3 linked regions of the Oryzias latipes genome follow. The protein of the gene in region 2 purifies or fractionates together with the protein of the main gene of each other region. This does not show direct contact. Links are inferred from orthologs where the notes say so. Each region holds a gene or a part of one and is shown on either strand. Other genes may lie near its edges.

Region 1 (4,206 bases), on a different chromosome or scaffold from region 2:
ATTGCCGTGTTCTCCCTGCCATGACAAAGGTGGATAAAGGTGGAAAGATTTCATGTAATCCATGGACACCAGTGAAGATCACAAATCATTGAAGAAAAAAGGTTCAGCGCACTGTGTAGTGGGTCTAGATGACCCAACTCCCAACATTAAAGTGCCTAGGATAGCACAAGGGTTAAGTGTACTTTGGTAGGCTGTTATCCTTTTCTTTACTTACTATCCTATTGGTGTTAACCTGAATTTGATTTCATTGGTTTATATTATGATCCAATAGAAAATTGTATACATAGAAAAGGAACATTTAAATATTTTTAGCAACTCCCCTCTGGACAGCTACTAAACATCATTGTGCAGCACAAGTTAAAAGATGCTTTAAATTCATGAAATAAATATGGTAATGAAAGATCATACTTTTTATTTGTAATGAAAGTGTTACTTTGTAGGTACATTCTGGTATTCTGGAGGAATGATAGAGCAAACCAGTCCTCTAGTGCAATGTCAACAGTGCTAAACATTCACACAGTTTATCTTACTATTCTAGGTACGCCTCAGCACAATAACATAACCTCAACAAACTTAAATTGAATTAATGCTAATTAGCCATATGCTTCTCATTTCTATAATTATTTTTTTCTTCAGCTAGAGAGCCACAATGGAGGGTAAAGAGCCAACCTTCAACTCTGGGGTCTCAGGTTGCAGACCTGGTTTAGTCTGTATATGTTTTGTCACAGTGTTTACTGGTAAAGACACCTCATCATGAACATGAACAATGAAATCGGTCAGATACAATTTTTTATGGGTGAAATATTTTTAAAAACTGAACACACTTTTAGCAAAAAGTAGTCTTTAAGGTGTGCTACACAAATACTAAAGGTGAGGCAGTATTCTTTAAGTATACTTTTCATATTGTACACGTAAAATGTTCCAATTTAGTCTGAAGAAGTATTTAGTCAGTACACTTCATACACTATGCATACTAGGTCTATAGTATACTTGACACAGTATACTTACGTATACTTAATCCAATCAACTTTGAGTGGACTACTTTTTGATAAGGGAAAGGATACTACTGTAAGTCATGTAATTTCAGCTGATTATTAAAGATAACTACATTTAATTATAGTTAACTCTAAACTAGACTCAAGCAATTCTTTTTAGAGCTGTTTAAAATTAAAGAATTGACAACTTAAGAGAGTAAAATTTGAATTTTCTTAAGTCCATCAACTACCAAAAACAACAACACATAATTCAAAAATAACTCCAAATGACTCCAAAACTGCCAAAAACCTTCCCGCAAATGTCATAAATAAAAATAAAGCACTAAACAGCAAGAAGTTTATTTGAAAATATGTAATTTTGCCTTATTTTCTCCGTTGGAATCAACGGGAATTTGTTCCTTTTATCTGACACGAGACTTTTATTTTGGAGAGCGGAAAAGGCGTAATTTCACACAAGCTAACAGCTAACGGCAACGTCACGGGAGACCGAAGCGGAGCAGCCGGTAAACGGACGTACGCGGCTGCACGCGCACAGACTTTCAGACTTTCTTCATGTTGCTGCTGACGTAAAGAAGCTTCTGGAAGCTTTACGTGCACGAGCACGCTCTACATGGCCACGCAGGAGCTGTACGAGGTGACAAAAGCTAATGCTAATGCTAACCGTGAAGTTTAGGATGGTTGGCAGGTTTTTAAAGTTTATGCTGTGACGTCAGTATGCTAGGAGTAAAAAAAAACAACCCCTCTGATCGTTACTAGCTGACGTCACCGAACAACTCCTCCATGACGTTGACGTGTGTCCCACAGGTGGAGAGGATCCTGGACAGGAGAAGGAGCAGGAAGGGGAAGGTTGAGTACTTGGTCAGGTGGAGGGGCTATGGTGCAGAGAGTGACACCTGGGAGCCTGAGAGTCACCTGTCCACCTGTGTGAGTTACGTTCAAGAGTTCAATCGCCAGTATGCTGAGCGACAGAGGGAGGGGGCGTTGATGCGCTCCACCCGCAGCCTCGCCCATCGACCACAGTGTGGCCCGCCACCCAGTTCCCCTGCATCTGCTGACCTTAGCAGCGAGGTCAGCAGGGCCTGTGTCCAGGTGAGGACGCCCCTCAGTCCCACTCACCTGTCCTGCTCCGCCCCCTTAACCTCACCTGACAGGTTTACCCCCTGCGCCATCTCTGCCCCTCTGGGGGGCTTTGCACGCCGAGGGGTGGACCTTTCCAAGACGGGCATCAAGATCCTGGTTCCAAAGAGTCCGATGAACTGCCGCCCCGACTCAGAGGAGTCCCCCAGCGAGGCGGCGCACAGCTTGGAGGCGGGCACTCAGGAGGCTCACCTGGTTCCGCCAGAGGTCGCCCTGCTGGAGAAACCTGTAGTGCAGCTTGGCCCTGGGGAGGAAAGGGCTCGCATTGGAACCAGGCCCCGGACCCAGAATCCCCTCTCCCCGCCCCGGGCCCCCATCACACCTGCGGCTGTTCGCTCCCTCAGCAGCTCAGGTGAGTCATGTGGCAGTCACGTGGAGCTCACACCCACGGTTTTTCGAGCCGGAACTTGACCATATGAGAATTTTATTTAGAAACCCATTCCAGAGAGACTACTGAGATGAAAGTGGTGTTTTAAACATGTTGTTGTGGTATTTTTATGATGATGGAGAACAGGCTTTAGGAAATGAAACTTAAAATGATATTTCTTAATATTTCCTCAATCACACTGTTGTTAATCAGGAGACAAACAAGCTGTTTGAAAATGCCTGTGCCAGTGATACAAGTGTTACAATCAGCGAGCCACAAGCTTCCTGCTGTTCTCCGTTCTGATGCTTCCACGTGTAGACAAATAGATCCATCTTTGTCTTTGTTTTCCTCGTCTGAGCTGGCATCTGGCTCAAAACTGTACGGCTGATTATCCTCAATATTGCTCGCCATTTTGGTTGCAGCGGTCTGTAAGCTTTTGGGAGAGCGTGTAAACAAAGGGATGATGGGAAGTGAGGAAAGACTTACTCTGTGCGAACAGTCTTGCCCCCAACTCCCAGGTGACTTTCTAATCAACTCCTGCCGCTCTGCCCTAAAAAAAAGACATGGGTTTATTGGCTTTGGGTAAAACGGCATAATCCTCATAAAAAGACCACTAGGAACAATTTTACAAAAGATAATTGGAGTGGGACTTTAACAGGTCATTTACAACTCATTAACTAATAGTTTTTTTAAGAATTTGTTAACTAGCTAGAATGGATAGGAGTGGAACTTTACCTTTCATCCATGAAACCCCACATCTGATTTTGGCAACATTTTTAAACAAGCTTTGGTGGATATTTACAGTCTAACTTTTTCTTTATTAAAGACATAAAAGTCAGATCATCTCACAGGTAAGTTAACAAAAAACAAAAAAAACTTGTTTGCAAGAATCAACGAAAGCCCAGTTTTCTTTTATTCCTATCAATATTATTAGTGTTGGGTCCATCAAGTAGTTGAATGCATGCTAGGTCTTGGTTCTGGCGAAAGCCCGGCAAATTCACATGAGGCAGTTGAGGTGGTGAGATTCACGTCCCAAAGGTTTTAACTCGACTAAAACTTATTTAAGCTCTCGAGTCCTCAGAAAGACATTCTGAGGTTGGGAGCCGTGGATTTTCTTTTTCCCAGGTTTACACCAAAAATATCAACGTTTTGTGTATTTTACTTGGTTTGTTCTTTGGAAAACACACTGATCTATTTTGAAAGCGTTCCCAGTGGTCTTCTAACAATGATAGTGGAGTTTAAGCCAAAAAAAAAAAACAGTCATTTTCTTGGACATGGTTTCTGCAGAGTGGTCAGTAGATCATTAGAAAATTACCTCTGAGTTTTTAGGTGGGACCATTAACCCTCCACCATCCCTATCTGTTGTGGAAAAGAGTGGAGCAGGAAGCTTGTGGCTCTGGCTCAGCGTATTTTCTACGTCACAAATGAGCTCTTTTTCAAACACATTGTTCCAACCATCAGATTGATTTCATTTAATGCCCATTTGAGGCCATAAAAGTGGACCCAAGGCATACCACATAAGCTTCTTGGGTTCAGACGAAGGAAGTTCTCCGCTATCTAAGTTGAAATATCCAGGAAACAGGTGCCATGTCACCTGGAGAGATGGTCATAGATCCACATGAAGCTTAGTGTCATCAGCATAGCTGTAGAATTTTATGCTTATTCTCTTGATGAGAGTGGCAGATTGTTAAAGCAACAAAGAGAAGG
Region 2 (2,788 bases):
TGCTGTGGTTCTGCAGTGCGGTTCAGACTCCCTGTCAGGAGACCGCCTCGGATGCTTCAACCTCACCATCCGCGGTACAACGCAGCCCCACGCTACCTGCATGAGTGACACCGGCAGGACGGCCCTAACGCGTTGTTGTTGCAGGTCATGCCAAATGCGTGGAGTACATCAAGTCCTTCAACCTCCCGTTGCTCATGCTGGGGGGAGGAGGATATACCATTCGCAATGTGGCGCGCTGCTGGACTTACGAGACTGCTGTGGCTCTGGACACGGAAATCCCAGACGGTTGGTCTCTTGTTGTGTCAGAGAGCTTCAGCTGCTGTGACCTGCATGCATTCATGCAGGTACGCATGTGAACCAGCAGGGGGTGCAAACGTTCCGTGTAAAACGAAGGAGCGTTGTTCCCAGAGGACAGCTGCTTTTGTTGCAGGTGCTTCTGCGGACGAATCAACAATAGAACCAAAACGTTTAAAGCTGGTAGCTATAATTCAGATTGTATTTTGACTTCAGTTAACACAACAGTCTTTTCCCATGATGCTTTTGGGCCTCTGAGCTCCTCATTCTGTGCAGCTGCTGGAAGCATCAGTTTGTCTGCTTTCCATGCAGAGATCTCCTGCATCTGACTCTTTCTTTGACTCCTTCAGAACTGCCTTACAACGACTACTTTGAGTACTTTGGACCCGACTTCAAGCTGCACATCAGCCCCTCCAACATGACCAACCAGAACACACAGGAGTACCTGGATAAGATCAAGTACGTTTGTCTGGAATTACCGGGCCTTTGCTTCTGTGTCGGTATTGATGAAATAACCAGAAAAGCAGCACTGATATGCAACACGATGGTGAAGTGTTTGCACGATCAATGTAAACCAGCTGGTTCTGACCCGGACAACAGTGGCTTTGCTAACGTGAAGTGTTGCATTGTGGCACAAAGCTGCTCTGGAGTTACACTCATTGCATAAACAGTTGTAGAGTTATGATAACGTGGTAAGAACGTTTGTTCTTTTGCACTTGTTGGTGACTGCTCTGACATCAAAGTGTTCAGGCCCTTACTTGTATTTTTAAAATGGCAGAGTGAAAATCATTTGGATAACGGAGTCGAGGCTCTCATCAGCTTCAGTTGTCCTGCTGTGACTATTTTTTATTCTTTTTACAAGCAAACGGCTCCTGATTGTCTGATTTCACTACCAGTCTACAGCAGCACTCAGACGATCTAGTAATCCTTGGCACCGGGTTGAGCGGCCATCTCATTTAGCCGTTTTTCAGTTGAACTGAAACCAAACGGTTTGTCTTTGTGTGATGAAGTAGTTGTTTAAACGCCTCTTGGGAGTCAGACTGACGGCCCGTGTGTGTGTTCAGGCAGCGCCTGTTCGAGAACCTGCGGATGCTTCCTCACGCTCCAGGAGTTCAGATGCAGGCCATCCCAGAGGACGCCGTCCCAGACGATCCGCTGGACGAGGACAAGGAGGATCCCGACAAACGCCTGTCTAGTAAGACTGCTCGCACTTCCCGCCCTCCACAAACCTCCCGTGATCGCCCACGTCCCCGCTGCTGCATCAGCGTGTTGCTGTGTGTCCACAGTTCGGGCCACGGATAAGAGGATAGTCTGCGAGGAGGAGTTCTCCGATTCAGAGGACGAAGGGGAGGGAGGCCGGAGGAACGTGGCCAGCCACAAGAAGGGAGGCAAGCGGCCCCGCCTGGAGGAGGAAAAGAAGGAGGGAGAGGAGAAGAAAGCTGGTTGGTAACGGGGCAGATGGGAAGGAAAGAAGCTGGATGGAATCTGAAGCGTCTGACGTTTCTACTTCCATCCATAGATGTAAAGGAAGAGGAGAAGACGAAGGACAGCAACTCAGAGAAAACGGATTCCAAAAGGTGAAGTGTCAGCAGCTCCTGTGGAGGACTCCATCCTGTGATGGTCTCACGTTGTTTGAGCTTCCTGTTCGGACTCCACCCTCACATCCACCTGTCACCTTCCTCTGCAGTGTGAAGACGGAGCAGAGCAGCAGCGCCTGAACCCGGTTCTCCGCCGTGCAGCTCGTCACGGAGAGGCATTTTATTTATTGAGACTCCATGGTTGGACTCCAAGTCCCTTCCAACAACCACTTTGCATTTTTTCCAGAACCATGTGTTTCCAATGTGCTTGATCTTCTGAAGGAAACTTGAGCTCTTTTTGTTTTTAGCAAAACTCTGCAGGTGAAACTCCAATAGAAGTTGTTAATTTTTGATAATTTGCCTTTGTTAATAAAACTTTTTATACTGTTTCCTGAGCAGATTCTTTTGGGGGATTTGTGTAGTAAAACTGTTCAGACACTAGAGGTCACCAAGAGTTTTTGATTTCCATAATTATTACATTCTGAGGTAGAATCACATACAGGAATCATTTGGTCAGCATGAAATCCAGAACTACTTGTGGCTTTTTTAACTTTTAGTTTCGAATTTTGTTCAAAAAGTGGTTAAACATTTGACCCACATAGAAGTTTTATTCTCCAGAGGAGTAGTCTGTCGACAAAATGTTTTAAGAAATCCAGATTCAACTTAAAACGACCCCACCTGAATGATTCTGGGCTTTAAAAACAGGCTGACATGCTGTAAAGATCATGGATGTGCTCTGACATGTGGGCAGAGAGGACAGGCGGGTGGGTTCTGTGCTGGTTTGGGACAGGAAAGATGAGAATGAGGCAACATTGACTTCACTCAGCTCCCGCCGCACAGGTTAACGTGTCACACCTGGATAGGATGACGGTGGGAACAAAATCAAATAGGATCCAGATTTGTTTCAGCCTGTTTCT
Region 3 (4,135 bases), on a different chromosome or scaffold from region 2:
CAAAAAATGTTCATAGAAACTTGCGTTACAACTCGTGAACATGAGAGTTTTCAACATGGAAGTCCAAAATGCACATTGACGTGCATTTACGCCTGAATGTGCGTTACTGAGGCGGGGTGAACGTAGCTGCAGAAGGGAGGAGGGTTTTTTTCTTTTACCGGCGACTTGCGTCCGTATCTGCATGCTGTTCTGCAGAGCCGTCAGCGGCTCCCGGTACTCTCCAGCCTTTCCTGTCAGCACCTCATCCAGCTTCACCTTCACCTGGTTCAGCCGCTCCCGGAACAGCCTGCAAGCACAGAGGCCCTTTAGTCGAGGTTTTCCTGACCAGTGATGTTCACATAGCAGACCACATCCCATAATACCCCCCCCCCAGTGCCAAGTTTGGAGTTACTTCTCCTTCAGCTCCTGAAACTGTTTCTCCAGATCCATCATTTCATCGAGACACTCTCCTCTCCTCCGCTCACAGTCTTCATCGTCCATCTCTTCACAAAAGGACACATAAAGGAAATTTATTCTCTCTGCATTTTTGAATCACTTCTATAAAAAACCTTTTTTGTTTTTACCTGAACTCTCCTCTTCCTCCTCCTCCTCCTCCTCCTCTTCTTCAGTCTCATCCAGGTCGCTGTCCCTCTCCTCCATGCTTTCCTCCATGGGCTCGTCTCCTCCCCCTCCTGCTCTCGTTTCATTCCGCTTTGGCTCCTCCGTGTCGCCGTTGGCCGTAGGGAGTTGGGACTCTCCTTCTGCCCCCATCTTCTCCTCTGGCTCCCTCACAGGGGGTTGGGCCGGCATGGCGAGCTGGAAACAACAACGACAAGCTCAACGACAAAAGCTTTCAGTCACAAAATCCACATGTCCCTGATGGTCCACAGACCTACCTGAGTGTTACTGAAAAAGGTTTTAGTCTGTCATCTTAATGGTTCATGCGATTTAGAAAATCACAAAGAAAACCAATGAATCCATTTAAAAGAATTGATATACATTTATTTGCATTTCACTGAGGGAAATTAGTATTTGATCCTTTAGTAAGAATTAAGAGTTCTGGTTCACACAGACTCTCCTAATCCTGTCACCTGAATTGAAGACACCTGTTTGAACCAATCCCCTGTAGAAAAGACACCTGTCCACAGAATCATTCAGACTCCAAACTCTCCAACATGAGAGACTAAAGAGCTTTCACTGGATTATTTGGAGAAGATTCTAGATCTGTTGACCCCAAGAGCACCATCCCCACTGTCGAGCGTGGAGGAGGAAGTTAAATCTGATCATACAGCCAAGTCAATCATGGAAATGGCTGCAGAGGAAGCAGATCAAAGCCATGGAGTGGCCCTGGACCTCAGTCCTATAGAAAATCTATGGGGAATGCTGAAGCTTAGGGTTGCTAAGCGACAGCCATTAAGGCTTGATGATTTAGAAGTCATTTGCAAAGAAGAGTGGACCAAGATTCTTCCTGATATGTGCAGAAACCTGATAATCAACTATGTCTGACTTCTGTGCTGCTAATAAGGCTTTTCCAATAAAGTACTACGTCTTCCCAGCAAGACAGTTAAAATAATAGTTTCCCTCAATGAAACGCAAATAAATTCACAAATACTTTAAAATCGATTTCTCGCTTTTCTATCTTTCACTGTTCAAATGAACATAGTGTTCAGATGACAATTTCTTTTGAATGCAAACCAACAAAATCAGCAAGAGATCAAACACTTCCTACACTGTATGTCAGAAATGCATTTATAACATCTGGCAAAACAAATGCTTTTAAATCAAAGCCATATATTTTTTAAAGTATTCTTGTGATGATGTTTGTAAGATATGCGGCATTTGTGTTTTTACTGATGGGATGACCTCGTTTATTTGATAACATTAGGAGTTTTAAAGATTCTTAAAGATGTCCAAACAGTTTTTGGTCTAACAGATTCACGTTACATTATTATACACGTTCTACAGGTGAATTCATTAAATTACAACTACATTTATTCAGTATGTAATGTGGTTAAGTCAAACCTTGACGATGACTTAGCTTTAATAAAGCTACAATAACAAGGGTCAAAACCGGAAATCGATTAGCTAAAAACAAATGCTAAATAAACAATAATTATTTTACATTGCATAACATGGCAAAATGTGTAATAAGCGTGTGGTAAAAACTGAAAATAATTTTTTTCTAAACGTCTAAAGGCCTAAAAAGGTTCAATAATGTTGAAAATTGCCATTTAGGTTTTTATTCAAACCGGAAGTCCGCTTTCACAGTGCTTAACTTGACCAAAACTGGCTTCCGTATGGAGGTAGAGTAAACTGGTAAACAAAATGAAAGCAACGGCGGGATTTAAAGCCTACACTAAAGTCAGGAAAAGAGACGCTCGTTTTGAAGGCTGCACTCACTTAAAAACCCTGTAATGTTTATTTCGCATTTCGGCCGCACTTTCACCACATTGAGCTCAAACACACCTCCGTGAAGTCAAGTGCAACACAAGCTAACAATTGAATCAAAAACGGAGACGGCAGTCACTGCGCACGCATCACATTTACACACGAAGGAACCGCCTTTCTCATGGAAATCTTCTTGAAACGTTTTTATTAATTAAAGATGGAAATTAGCACTCCAGAGAATCATAGGAGCATCTTGCAGACCGACCTGCCAACCGAACTACACGGATTAACTCGAAGAACGCACTCCCTGAGTCCGAGCGGACAGGGGGATGCTATCCGCTACTAACAAACATAAATCATCTTTATTACTGTTAAGTCAGACGTGAAAGCCATCTTACCGTGTCCCTTAGCCGAGCTATGCAGAAGAAACGTTCGGTTTAATGATATATTTCCATTTTGGAAAGTACTTCCTCTTCGATCGGCTCCTCTTCAGTTAGACACTTTGCCGGACTCTGTGAACTGTAAAATCAACCAATCAGCGTCGAGGGCTGCTCCTGACTATCCAATAGGAAGAACCATCCCGCAAGCACCCTGTCCAATCAGAATGAAGACACAGCTTCTATGAACCAATTGTAATTTAGATATACATCTCCAACATATAATTTAAATATAATATAATTAAGTAGAATGAAAAATTGTTGTTTAAACACAACACTACAAGAAAAAAATACAATTTCTGATTATGTTTACGTCACATGAAACGCAAAATGTAAAATGAAATTGAGCATAAAATAATTTTGCTCAACCTCATGCATATACAGCAAAATTTTTTTTGATACGTGTAATAATAAACGGAAGAGCAAAAATATTGACATTAAAAGAAAATGATCCACAAATCGTCAGTTTTACATATTTTTTATTAAAGTTGCATAAAAGTAACAAAATTGGGCAAAAACAAGACCTGTTGTTGATATTGCTACATGTGTTTGTTGGTTTGCCTAATTTTTAAAAACTGTACACTCCCCTAACACGTCTAATCTGCATGGTTTAGCTCTTGTATTTAACCTCAATGGTAAAATCGTTTTTTTTCTTTCCCAAACAGTAAAAAAAAAACCAGACTTGTCAATAACAGTCTAAGAAGACATAATAATAATCCAAAACTTGAACTTTAAAAATGAAAATCCACTGAAATTCAGCTGCTGACTGAACTTGCCTGGTGCAATTTTACTGATCGAAAAAGGGAAGAAAAGTAAAAACTAAAAAACAGCAGTCGATCTATCTGGAAACATCATTGAGAAGGCAAAAACAATCACATCTGAATGGATTTTTCTTCAGCTAACAAATCAGTCCAAGGCTTGGCGTTGAGAAGGGTCGCGATCACAATTTATAAACAGACCAGCATTCAAACACATGGTTTATCTGAACAGCATCACTGCATCAAGGCCTACGGCAAATATGAAACACACCTAAAAAATATTGGTTTAAAAAAAAAAACAGAATCTCAAAAAAGGAAAATCCAAGATTCTCCCACAAGATGTAGCTCCACCTGGTAGCACATCTAAAGAAAAAAGCAAAGATGTCTCCTGTTTATTTGGTTTGTGTAACATAAATAATACCTAAGGCAACATCTGTTTGAAAACAGGAAACTCAAGAGCGATGAGGGAGCAGGACAGGAGGATGCATGGAAGAAGGTAGGAGGGGATGGCAAGGAGACGGTGCAGCAGGATAAAGTGGGCCCCCAGTGTGTGTGTGTGTTTGTGTGTGTGTG

The links. Proteins that work in one complex are often made in the same cells at the same time.
Region 1: the proteins of hdac2 (region 2) and cdyl purify together in Homo sapiens (affinity purification with mass spectrometry; 6 studies listed by BioGRID and IntAct, with this or other methods). This does not show direct contact. The link is inferred for Oryzias latipes from reciprocal best matches to the Homo sapiens genes HDAC2 and CDYL.
Region 3: the proteins of hdac2 (region 2) and brms1 purify together in Homo sapiens (co-immunoprecipitation; 4 studies listed by BioGRID and IntAct, with this or other methods). This does not show direct contact. The link is inferred for Oryzias latipes from reciprocal best matches to the Homo sapiens genes HDAC2 and BRMS1.

Annotation. Positions count from the first base shown.
Region 1 is NC_019875.2:12,883,863-12,888,068, forward strand, and holds the start of cdyl (chromodomain Y-like protein), read left to right. Parts: upstream 1-1,309; 5' UTR 1,310-1,605; coding exon 1,606-1,629; intron 1,630-1,799; coding exon 1,800-2,484; intron 2,485-2,985; exon of another isoform or gene 2,986-3,049; intron 3,050-4,206.
Region 2 is NC_019882.2:21,620,955-21,623,742, forward strand, and holds the end of hdac2 (histone deacetylase 2), read left to right. Parts: coding exon 1-74; intron 75-144; coding exon 145-285; intron 286-644; coding exon 645-753; intron 754-1,358; coding exon 1,359-1,489; intron 1,490-1,580; coding exon 1,581-1,736; intron 1,737-1,813; coding exon 1,814-1,871; intron 1,872-1,981; coding exon 1,982-2,012; 3' UTR 2,013-2,260; downstream 2,261-2,788. UniProt on the Homo sapiens protein: Histone deacetylase that catalyzes the deacetylation of lysine residues on the N-terminal part of the core histones (H2A, H2B, H3 and H4).
Region 3 is NC_019876.2:12,603,297-12,607,431, forward strand, and holds the start of brms1 (breast cancer metastasis-suppressor 1), read right to left. Parts: upstream 2,898-4,135; 5' UTR 2,766-2,897; intron 987-2,765; exon of another isoform or gene 876-986; intron 796-875; 5' UTR 790-795; coding exon 564-789; intron 483-563; coding exon 392-482; intron 287-391; coding exon 159-286; intron 1-158. UniProt on the Homo sapiens protein: Transcriptional repressor. Down-regulates transcription activation by NF-kappa-B by promoting the deacetylation of RELA at 'Lys-310'. Promotes HDAC1 binding to promoter regions.